3 linked regions of the Macaca mulatta genome follow. The protein of the gene in region 3 interacts with the protein of the main gene of each other region in a pairwise test. Links are inferred from orthologs where the notes say so. Each region holds a gene or a part of one and is shown on either strand. Other genes may lie near its edges.

Region 1 (2,713 bases), on a different chromosome or scaffold from region 3:
AGAAGGCTGGGGGAGGTGGGGCTGAGAGAAAGGTCTAGGCCTAGAAGGCCTGGGACTCTCAACTCCAACTCCTCCTCCCCCACTTCCGTAGTGGGCTCACCTCAAGCACCCCACGTGGTGGCCCTAGGTAGAACAGATTCGGGCGGGCAAAGCGCCTTAGATCCCCAGTCTGCAGCCCAGGGCAGGGTGCCAACTTCTCCTCATCCCTTCATAGGCCACAGAATGGAAAGACACTGGGGCTTCTCTGTTGGGAGCGTAGGAGGGACAGACTGGACAAAAGGGCTCCCGAACAGGCTCCGAGGGGAGCAACCCCGCCCTGACCCCCGTCCCCAACACCGTTCCTGGCCTCGCTCCCCAATGTCCCGGCTCTGCACCAATTCCTCCCGCAAGCCAAGGAACAGCGAGGCACTCCTGGTCTCTAAACCGTTTTATTTCTCCAGAAGGTTGGGGTGGGCGAGCCTAGAACACTGCGTGCGGCGGGTTCCCGGGTCCAGCCAGCGCGGACCGCGTGGGGCCCGGCGGCTCTTAGGCGAAGGTGGAGTTGTTCCAGCCCACGTTGGCCGCGTTCATGTCGTAATAGTTGATGTAGACCCTGCGCGGGGAGGAGGCTGGACTCAGCGGGCGGCTCAGTCACCGGCCTGGCCGCGCGCCGCCGCCCCTCCCCCGCGCCTCCGCGCCTCCGCGTACCTGTCCGGGCTGATGCGCAGGCGCTCGGCCAGCAGGCCGCACAGCAGCTTGCTGTAGGAGCGGTTCTGCGCGCCGCCGATCTTGCCGATGCTGTGCAGGCTGCAGAGCGCGCAAGGCTCGCTGGAGCCTCCGAAGGCCATGAGCTGGTCCGGGACCACGTGCACCGCGATGTACTGCATGAAGGGGCGCGGTCAGCCCGCCCCAGCGACCTCGCCAAGCCCCAAGCGTCCACTTCGGGCCCGAGCCACCGTCCTCCCCCCGCTCCGTCCCCCCAGCTCCGTTCGGGAGTCGCCTCCCCAGCTCCCAGCGCGGGACCCCCTCGTCCGGCCTGCACCCCCTCTTCCTGTCCCCTCCCGGCAAACCTGGGGGGGCTTGCCGGTGGCCTGCGCCAGCTGCTGGGTGAGCTCGGAGAGGAACCCGTCCGGCACGGAGGCGCGGGGCACGTTGGTATTTACGATGAACATCGGCATGATGGCAGAAGAACCCGGACACCCGCGCAGAAGCACAAACTCACGCGCCGCGGCCGCAGCTGAGCTACGTGCCTGACTTCTCGGACACTACTGCGGCCCCGCCTTTTGTGACGCCACCACCTGCGCCAGGCCCCGACCCCGCGAGGCTGCGGCTCCGCCTCCAGTGGGGACGTCACCGCCTGCCTCGGCTCCGCCCCGCAGGGCAGGACCCTGGGCGACTCTGCCCGTTCCTCCAGCAACCGCCGCTAAGCCCGGCGCACTGTTCCAAACCGTTCTCCACCTGGCCGCTAGAAATCGGCCTGTCCCGGCCTCGCTTCGGGTCTTTCTTAGTCCTTTCACTAAGTCACCGATGATAGTCGCCAGGAGGCGCTGTGCCGGCAGTGGGGATGCGGTGGTGAACCCGGAAGATGGCCCCTTGCCCTTCCAGAGATGAAGCCGAGTTGATTCCACTGCACGCACTGAGCCCCTGTACCTCCTGAGTCTTTGGGCCACGCGTCCCCAAGGGCTCCAGTCCCTGCACGCGTTAGCTTGTGTGTTTGAGATGGGGAGGGGCAGTCACTGCGGCAGGTGAGAGGGGAGCTGCCCCTGCGAATCACCATCCGGGGAACTTCCCTGAATCCCTGCTCTTTAAAGAGGATAGGATGCTGGGAGGCACCGAAGGTGGTGAGGTCGAGACCAGGTTCAGTGGTTCAAACGTGCGCAGCTCCACTTCTCTGGGCCTCTGGGCAACTTCAGCTCCTCAGGGAAGCCACACCCTAGTCAGGTCCACCGTGTATGCCCTCTCATAGAGCCCTTGCTGAATTTCTTAACTGTCTTTTCCACTAATGGTAAACTTGGGGACCATCTAGCAGGTGCCAAGCATACTAGAGACATTGACTTAATACTGCCGAATGAATGAATGAATGAATGGGTGAAAGAAGATAAGCCATGACATAGCAGGAAGAGGACAAGGCAGCAAGTGGATCACAGGCCAGGTCCTCAGATTTCCAGGGAGGTCCTGTCCTTGGTCTCTGATAGGTGCAATCCATATACCAGTCTCGGTGAAGGCCATGTGATATAGTAGGGACACCCATGCCTGTGGGACCCTCGTGGCACCAGCCAGCCTCCAGTTGGGAGGCCCCATGGCCCATTTATACAAATAGCCTATGGGTGTTGGTTCCTGCAGCTGGGCCCCAGACTCTTTCCCTCCTGCTGTCGCACCTTCTCTTACTTGTGTCCAGGGCTCCCTAAATGATGGCACTCCATGCCATGTCTCCAGCCAGGGGCACTCCCCTAAGCCCCAGGCACTGACAGCAGCCGACTGAGTGTCCACTGCTCTGTAAAGTCCAGATATATGACTTGTCCTCCTACACCTGATCACCTGCCAGTGAAATGTGCCTCCTTTCACTATCCCTTTATTCCCACTTCTCTCCATTCCCTGCACTACTGCCTAGTCTGCACTAGCTGCATTGCCTTTGGCCTGGACCACTGTGACTTCCCTATGGTGGACTGCTGCTTCTCGAGGGAGGAGTCTGTTTCCCAGCCCCAGGCAGCAGATTTAGCTATGACTCCCTGTG
Region 2 (3,731 bases), on a different chromosome or scaffold from region 3:
GGAGCTGGGAGTAGAAGCCATGGCTCTGCCGGGGCCTTGGAGACCTTGTGCCGTCTGGCCACCCTGTACTCCTGGGGCCCCTGCATCAGCTACTCTGGCCTCCCCGCCCCAACCAATCAGCGTCCTTGCTGTTCCCAGCTCATTCTCATGTAGGGATCTCTCTCCTCCTGAGGAACGAGGACCCCAGCAGGAAATGCAGCTGGGCACACAGGGATGGAACAAGCCCTGCCCACTGCTATAAGACCCAGCAGAAAACACACTGAAGCCAGGTCCTCAGTCACTTCAACGTTTCATTTGGGCTTCAAACTCTGAGGAAGCGGGCCCCACGAATCCCCTGTGGACAGGCATGGCACAACGCTGGCAGGCATGTGCCAGGCAGGGAGAGGGCAGGATGGCTGGTGGACCCTCAGAAAGACCCTGCCTGAGCTTTCCCTGTAGGGACTGAGCGGAGTAGAGAACTGAGCCCCCTAAAGTGAGCAGCACAGAGCCACGGGGGGCAGGGGCATGCCTGGCTGCATAGTGGGAAGGCAAAGGCCTGGCCTCCAGGAACAGGCACAGGGACGCCCAGCCAGGCCTGCTGTCTTCCTGTGTGAGAAGCGAGGCACCAGGGTATGCGGTGGGCAGGAAGTCACATCCTGAATGCCAAGGGGCAGCCCAGGCTGTTCCTGCCTCCCTCACCTGCAGTTCAGCTGCAGCTCCTTGGGGCCTCCACTGAGGAGGAGGCCAGTGGGTGCCTGCTGTGTGCACCTCCACTTCTGCTCCAAACCTAACAGGGGCAGGGCAGGTCCCCACGGGCAGTGTCCTGGGGACCACCCAACTGAGACACAACAGGCTCTGGCTCTGATGCACTTTAATGAGTGCCCTGCCCCTGTCCAACCAGGCCACTCCATAGGCGCCTGGCTCGCTGTCCCATGGGCTCTGGCTGACCACCCTCTAGTCACAGGAGCCATCCTTCCAGCCGTCGCGCCAGCGCTCATCCACTTTTGAGCAGTCGAAGTCAGGCTTGCCCAGCTTGCGGTTCACTTCATTGTGCAGGTGGCACAGCCACTGCGTGAAGCCTGCCCGAGTGCGGGTGTCTGGCTGGTTCCTGCACAGCCTGCATAGGGAGAGCATGTAAAGAATGGGAGGACGCAGCGGCTCCACTGCCCCTGCCAGTTCCCTGTCTGCTCCCAAGGAAAGACAACTGGGGCACTGCTGTGAGCTACACCTGGGAGTGCCCTTATGCTCCAAGGGACAGGAATTCCCAGAACAGGGCTGACCCTGCAGCTCCCGGGTGTGATGAACTCCCAGGGTTGCTCAAACACCCACCTGGAGAGCTTGGCAAACTCCAACGAGGCCTCAAGGCAAGACATCACAGCACAGACCTGGCAAATTTATAAGCTTCTAACACCCAGGAAGCGGCATCCAGCGTCTCTGGCCTCAGGCAGAGTGTGGCCTGGGTGGGGCTGGGCACAGCCTTGTAACTGAAAACTGGACTTGTTTCTTAGCACCTGAGGGAGGCCCTGGTGCCTCAGTTCAGCAAGAGACTTAATTCTAACTGCCCAGGCTTACAGCAACAATGGCAACTCTGCCCTAGACATCTGGTCTAGAAACACCCGCAAGGGCCAGTGCTGGCTCTTGGATGCCTCAGTGAGGAAGAGGTGGCTCTTGGGGGCAAAAGCAGTGGATTTCCAAGATTTTAAAACCAGCAGTCCTGCTCTAGAAGTCAGGCAAAGTGGAGTCCTCCCTAACTTGCGGGGAGCCGTCTTCAGTGCCAGACAAGGCAGGGAAGCCCTTCCTGGAGTCCTGTGGCTGTGGCAGGAGCAGTACTCAGCAGCAGATCCCAACAGTTTGGCTTTTGAGACAAGACGAGGAGGCTCAGATGGCCCCAGGCCTCACCTGTTGGAGGTCCCTGCTCCTCAGCAAACTTCTGCCACCTCTGCATCCGTTTCTCTATGTTCCCCGCTATTACGTCAGCCAGGAGCCCCAGCCCAGGCTGCAGTGCAAAGCTCTGCTGCGTGCAAACACATCTTACCTTTCCCTTAGGTCTTCAGCACACTCCTCACAGGGGTAAAACTTAGAAAATAAATGTATGAAGTGGGCCATGTCTTGCTGCTGTTCTGGGGTGGGCAGGTCGGGGTAGTAGGCGGCCAGGGTGTGGAGAACAGCCCAGCTGTGGCGGCCCAGTTCCTCGCGATCCGGCGGGCAGTCCTCCCTAAACTTGGTGTCCCGCTGCGGAAGCAGGCCAACCAAGAGTGAGTTCATTCTCCGAACAGAAGCGCCCAAAGCTCCCCCTTCTACGGCCCAGCCGGTGGCCCACTGGACTCCGGCCAAAGCCCTGCAGACGATCCAACCCACGCGCGGATGAAGGCTGTAAGGCCGGGCTTACCCGGGGGCAAGGTTCAGGGACAGGCAACCCCGGGGAGCTCTGCCGGGGCACCTGGGCGGGGGCAGGGGCAGCGGCTGCGCGGGGCTGGGAGAAGTCGGGCAGGGATCTGCACCTTCTGCTGCGTCCGCATCCACGTCTTGAAGTCCACGCAGGCCCGGCACGGCCGCCTCCGGGAGGCGTCCACGGCGACAGGAGACTCGGAGGTCGGCGCCTGGGCTGGCGTCGGGGCCGAGGTGGCCGCGTCTCTCCGCCCCGCGCCGCGGCCCCGCGCGTCGGTCGCCAGGTCGTCCATCACCTCGGAGCGCGCGCCTCCCGGCAGGAAGAAGAGATTCCGGCCGTGGAAGCTGCCCCGCTCGCCGGGCGCCGCCATGTTGCCCGCGCAAGGCCTGCCGGGCCAGCTCGGCCTCCAGATGAGCCTCCAGGTCAGCTTCCAGGCCAGCGCGCAGCTACAGTAGCCGGAGGCGCGCGCCGTGCTCGCGGGGGCCGGGCCCGAGCTGGGGCTTGGGGCGGAGTTGGGGGCGGGGGCCGGCGCGCGGGCCCGTGTGGAGGCGGAGCCAGAGGCCGCGGGGCGGACCGGGGCGGGGCCGGGCCCGGGGCCAGGGGCAGGGACGGAGCTGGAGGGCCGGAGCCTGCTGGCACCCCGGGGCCTCGATCCGCGGCGCACGCCGTGGTTGCGCCGTCCGTGGCGGCGCTCTCGCTTCCTCCAGTAGAAGAGCAGTGTGTGGCGGAAGGTGCGCAGCGGAAGGTGCGCCGCGGGCGCGCTGTGGACCTGGGCTGACACTCAGGCAAAGTCCGTGTTGCGGCCCGCGACGCCCCCATCGCTCCGCTCTGAGTGTCCTGCGTTCCTGCGGCCAGGCTCTGTGCCCTCCGCTGAGGGGCGCGTCCCACCGGCTGGCTGCCCAGCGCCTTCTCAACGCGGGGCGGGCGTGACCGCACAGATTGCGGCGCGCGCTAGGGTTCTGGGCTGGTGTCACCGCCCTGGCGCCATGGCAACGGGCGCCTGGCAACGCAGGGCGGGGCGCGGCCGCAGAGGGCTGGCGCGTGCCTTGGGCTCCCCGGCGCCCCCCGCCAGCTGCCGCGGACCCTAGAACCTGGGGTGAGGGGTCGGGCTCCCAGTTGGAGCGGCCTCTGCGATTCCTCTGCCTCCTTGCGTTCATTTATCCATTCCGCTATTATTTGTGCAGTGACTGCTCTGTTCCAAGCGCTGTTCCAGGTGCTGGGCGGAGCAGGGAACACAGCTCTGTTCCCTGACCTCCTCTGTTCATAATTCAGTGGTCAAGATAGGAAAAAAAAACAAGGACTCACACTCATAAATGTTCACGTACAAACTGGTGGGTCCATGCAAGGGTGTGGTAAATCTGGA
Region 3 (3,748 bases):
GTGGCGGCCAAGAGCTCTGCAGCCGCCGGTCCAGCCAGGCGGTCGGCGTCGGCCATGGCATCATTATCGTCCTCTAGGATTATCCTCGTCTTCCGGGGAAGAACAGGCCGGGCGGTGCTCCGGTAGCTGCGGGTCCTGGGGCCCGCAGAGCGTAAACTGATCCTCTGCATTGCGGTCGGAGTCTGGGTCAGGCCTTGGGCCCCCGCCGCCCGGGGACCCAGACTCAGCAGCAGGACCCACAGCAGCGCGCCGGCGGCGGGGACCATGGGGCTGGGCTCTTGGGGTTGGGAGGGAGGCCACTGAGGCAGGCCCTGCCTCCTACCTTCGCTCCCTCCCTTCCGCTCTAGACCCACTGGGTCGTTTGAACCGAGGCCCGCGGGGAAGGGGGTGGGGTTCGACGCGCAGGCGCCCGCGCACCGCGCGGGGTGCTCCTAAGGAATCTCTGCGGCAAGAACTCTGCCAGAACCGAAAGAAGGTTTGGGATGCAAGGGGTGGTGAAAGAGTCGTTCACTTCTTTGGAGTAGAGCTTAAATGTCTCATCGCAGTTTATTAGTCTCTACAGTTCTAAATTTACTAAAGCGCAAAATACAGGTTTTGAAAGCACTCCTTCCCAGGCTCACAGGCAGCAGACATGACTTAGAAGGAAAAAGGGCATACAGGGGTTCTTCAAGATTTAAGGAGCTGACTCTCCTGGCTCCCAGCAGGCAGGCTGGCTGTCAGGTAAGCCTCTTCCATCCAAGGTGGAAGGATCACAGCCCCTCCACTTAGAGAGGAGGAAAATGAGGACCCAAAAAGATGATTTGCCCAAGGTTCTACAGCTAAAGTAGGATTAAAACCCAGAGCTCTGGCCGGGCGCAGTGGCTCACAACTGTAATCTCTGCACTTTGGGAGGCTGAGGCGGGCAGATCACGAGGTCAAGAGATCAAGACCATCCTGGCCAACAAGGTGAAACCCTGTCTGTACTAAAAATACAAAAAAATTAATTGGGCGTGGTGTGTGCCTGTAGTCTCAGCTACTCGGGATGCTGAGGCAGAAGAATGGCTCGAACCAGGAGACAGAGGTTGCAGTGAGCCGAGATGGCGTCACTGCACTCCAGCTTGGCCACAGAGCCGGACTCCAACTCAAAAAACAAAACAACCCCAGAGCTCTGCATATCCCATACAAAATGACCCTACATTCAGCCTTCCGCCCCAACAACTGGAATGAAAGTCACCCAGCAGACCAGCTTCCCAGTCTCAAAGCCCTGCTGAAGGCAGGGTCATGCAAAGGACAAAATCCCACTGAGAAGTGAAGATCCAGTGGTACTGAGATTGGGGATAAGATGATTTACAAAACAGCTCAGATGTTTCAGGGATTCAGGTGTAGGCAGATCACTAACTGGTTCTAAGGCCTTTTATCCAGTCCTGTGTTAGGTCCCTCCTGAGCCATGGAGATCCCGGTCCAGCCTAGGAGAGGGAGGGGAGACGAGAGGAGAGAAGAGGTTCAGGGGCAGGACTTGGGTTTTACTTTCTGGTTTGGGGAGACAAGCCAGGTGAACTGGAAGAGCTAGATGATTGGGTTGAGTCATCATTTAGCACTTTTGCTCCCTAATACCCTCTCCCCCACTGGATATCATCTGTTCACTTCCAACACATCTCTTCCTAATTTCTAGGGCCAGTCGGAATCTCCTCTGCACTGTGATTATTCCTTATTGCCTCTGCACTTATATATATAGGGTTTTTTTTCATTTATTCTTGTTGGATGCAATAGTGTCCTTCATTTCTTCTCTGGGTGTGTGCAGTTTCCCCATATATATTAAAGCACCCAAAAGCAGGGCCTCTGTCTTTTCGTTCTTTTGTATGTCCCCCAAGGCATTAAAAAAGTAGGGATTGGCTTTACACATCCCACCCCCAAAGCTTTATCCTTAAGTGTGAAACTCACTGTCTGACAGCTTCAGGGATGTGGACTTGATCCAGGGATACGAGTTGCGCCAGCTCCCCCAGGCTGTCCAGAAAACGGATTTTTCGTGTGAATTTGGAACTGAAAAGAGAGAATAAACCAACTGTGTTTTGTATTGGGAGAAGGGTTCCCAAAAATCCTTGCAAAGAAAAATGTAGAAGTAGAGTGGTTAAGGCTAGAAAGAATCAAGGTGGAGAAAGATCTTAATCTTGATTTTGAAAATGGGGGGAAGGAGAAGGGAGTCCTTGTTCCTAGAACTAGTACCTGATGAAGGGCCGAAGCAGTGCCAGAAATGCCTTCACATACCATGTAGCATGGACAACCACCAGGGCTCGCAGGTTTTTCCGTAGCCTGAAAAACAACAGGAGATCATCCTATTTCTTCTTCCACCTTTATGTGTGAAGATCAAGTGGAACTGTTTTCTGTACTGTAACTTCCTTCACTTCTCTAGTTTCTAGATTTATCTGGTACTTGGGTCTAATCCCCATTCCGTCAGCTGTAATCTCAGCTCCGCCCATCTTATTTAGCCCTCCATGATCCTCACTTTTAAAAAACTCTCCTTTCAGATTTTTTTTTTTTTTTTTTTTTTGAGACGGAATCTCGCTCTGTCGCCAGGCTGGAGTGCAGTGGTGCGATCTCGGCTCACTGCAACCCTCCACCTTCCGGTTTCAATCAATTCTTCTGCCTCAGCCTCCCAAGAAGCTGGGATTATAGGCACACGCCACCATGCCCAGCTAATTTTTATATATTTTTAGTAGAGATGGTGACTTGTCACCATGTTGGCCAGGCTGGTCTTGAACTCCTCACCTTGTGATCCGCCCACCTCGGCCTTCCAAAGTGCTGGGATTACAGACATGAGCCACCGTGCCCAGCCACCTGGTCTTTTTCTGCTCCATTTCCCTCTTGTGCCCTACCCTTGCGTAAGTTCCTTTTGCATGCTTTTGCATCGCTCCATGACCAAGATTACTTATAAAACTCTAGGTGGAAGAAGACCAGCAAGGACAAAAAAAGGAAAGGGGGCAAGAAGAGAAAAGTGAGCAAAGGGAGATGGGGGAAACAAAAGGGGAAAAAAAAATCCTGAGAAGGAAAAGAAGACATAGGGCCAGAGACAGTGTCTCACGCCTGTAATCCCAGCACTTTGGGAGGCTGAGGCAGGCAGATCACCTGAGCTCAGGAGTTCAAGACTGGCCTGAGAAACATGGCAAAACCCTGTCTCTAACAACAACAACAACAAAATACAAAAATTAGCTAGGCATGGTGGTGGCGCATGCCTGTACTCCCAGCTACTTGGAAGGCTGAGGTGGGAGAGTGGCTTGAGCCAGGGAGGCAGAGGTTCCAGTGAGCCATGATCGCACCACTGCACTACAGCCTGGTGACAGAGAAGACACATAGGTCAGTGATGAAGGCAGAGAAGAAGATAATGGAGGTATGGAAAGGGAAATAAATAGCAAGACTGAGAGAAGAGAAGAGTGCTTCCTGTGTGCCAGGCAATATGCCACACTAATTTAATTGCTTTTCACAAATACCCAGTGGCAAAAGTATAATCATTGCCATTTTACAGATAAAGAAGCTAAAGTGGCCAGGTGCAGTGCCTCATGCCTATAATCCCAGCACTTTGGGAGGTGGAGGCGGGCAGATCACTTGAGCTCAGGAGTTTGAGATCAGCCTGGGCAAAATGGTGAAACTCCATCTCTACAAAAAATACAAAAGTTAGCCGAGCATGGTGGCCCATGCCTGTAGTCCCAGTTACTTGGGAGGCTGAGGTGGGAGGATCGCTTGAGCCTGGCAGTCAGAGGTGGCAATGAGCCGA

The links.
Region 1: the proteins of BNIPL (region 3) and MIF interact in a two-hybrid assay, tested with the Homo sapiens proteins (2 studies listed by BioGRID and IntAct). The link is inferred for Macaca mulatta from reciprocal best matches to the Homo sapiens genes BNIPL and MIF.
Region 2: the proteins of BNIPL (region 3) and GFER interact in a two-hybrid assay, tested with the Homo sapiens proteins (2 studies listed by BioGRID and IntAct). The link is inferred for Macaca mulatta from reciprocal best matches to the Homo sapiens genes BNIPL and GFER.

The regions. Positions count from the first base shown.
Region 1 is NC_133415.1:28,066,968-28,069,680, reverse strand, and holds MIF (macrophage migration inhibitory factor), read right to left. Parts: upstream 1,239-2,713; 5' UTR 1,158-1,238; coding exon 1,050-1,157; intron 861-1,049; coding exon 688-860; intron 593-687; coding exon 526-592; downstream 1-525.
Region 2 is NC_133425.1:3,203,536-3,207,266, reverse strand, and holds the start of GFER (FAD-linked sulfhydryl oxidase ALR), read right to left. Parts: upstream 2,822-3,731; 5' UTR 2,739-2,821; coding exon 2,481-2,738; exon of another isoform or gene 2,322-2,480; intron 2,212-2,321; coding exon 2,015-2,211; intron 1,097-2,014; coding exon 934-1,096; 3' UTR 1-933.
Region 3 is NC_133406.1:116,053,218-116,056,965, forward strand, and holds the end of BNIPL (bcl-2/adenovirus E1B 19 kDa-interacting protein 2-like protein), read right to left. Parts: intron 2,290-3,748; coding exon 2,203-2,289; intron 2,020-2,202; coding exon 1,921-2,019; intron 1,446-1,920; coding exon 1,409-1,445; 3' UTR 522-1,408; downstream 1-521. Other genes in the region: C1H1orf56 (protein MENT), read right to left, coding at 1-266. UniProt on the Homo sapiens protein: May be a bridge molecule between BCL2 and ARHGAP1/CDC42 in promoting cell death.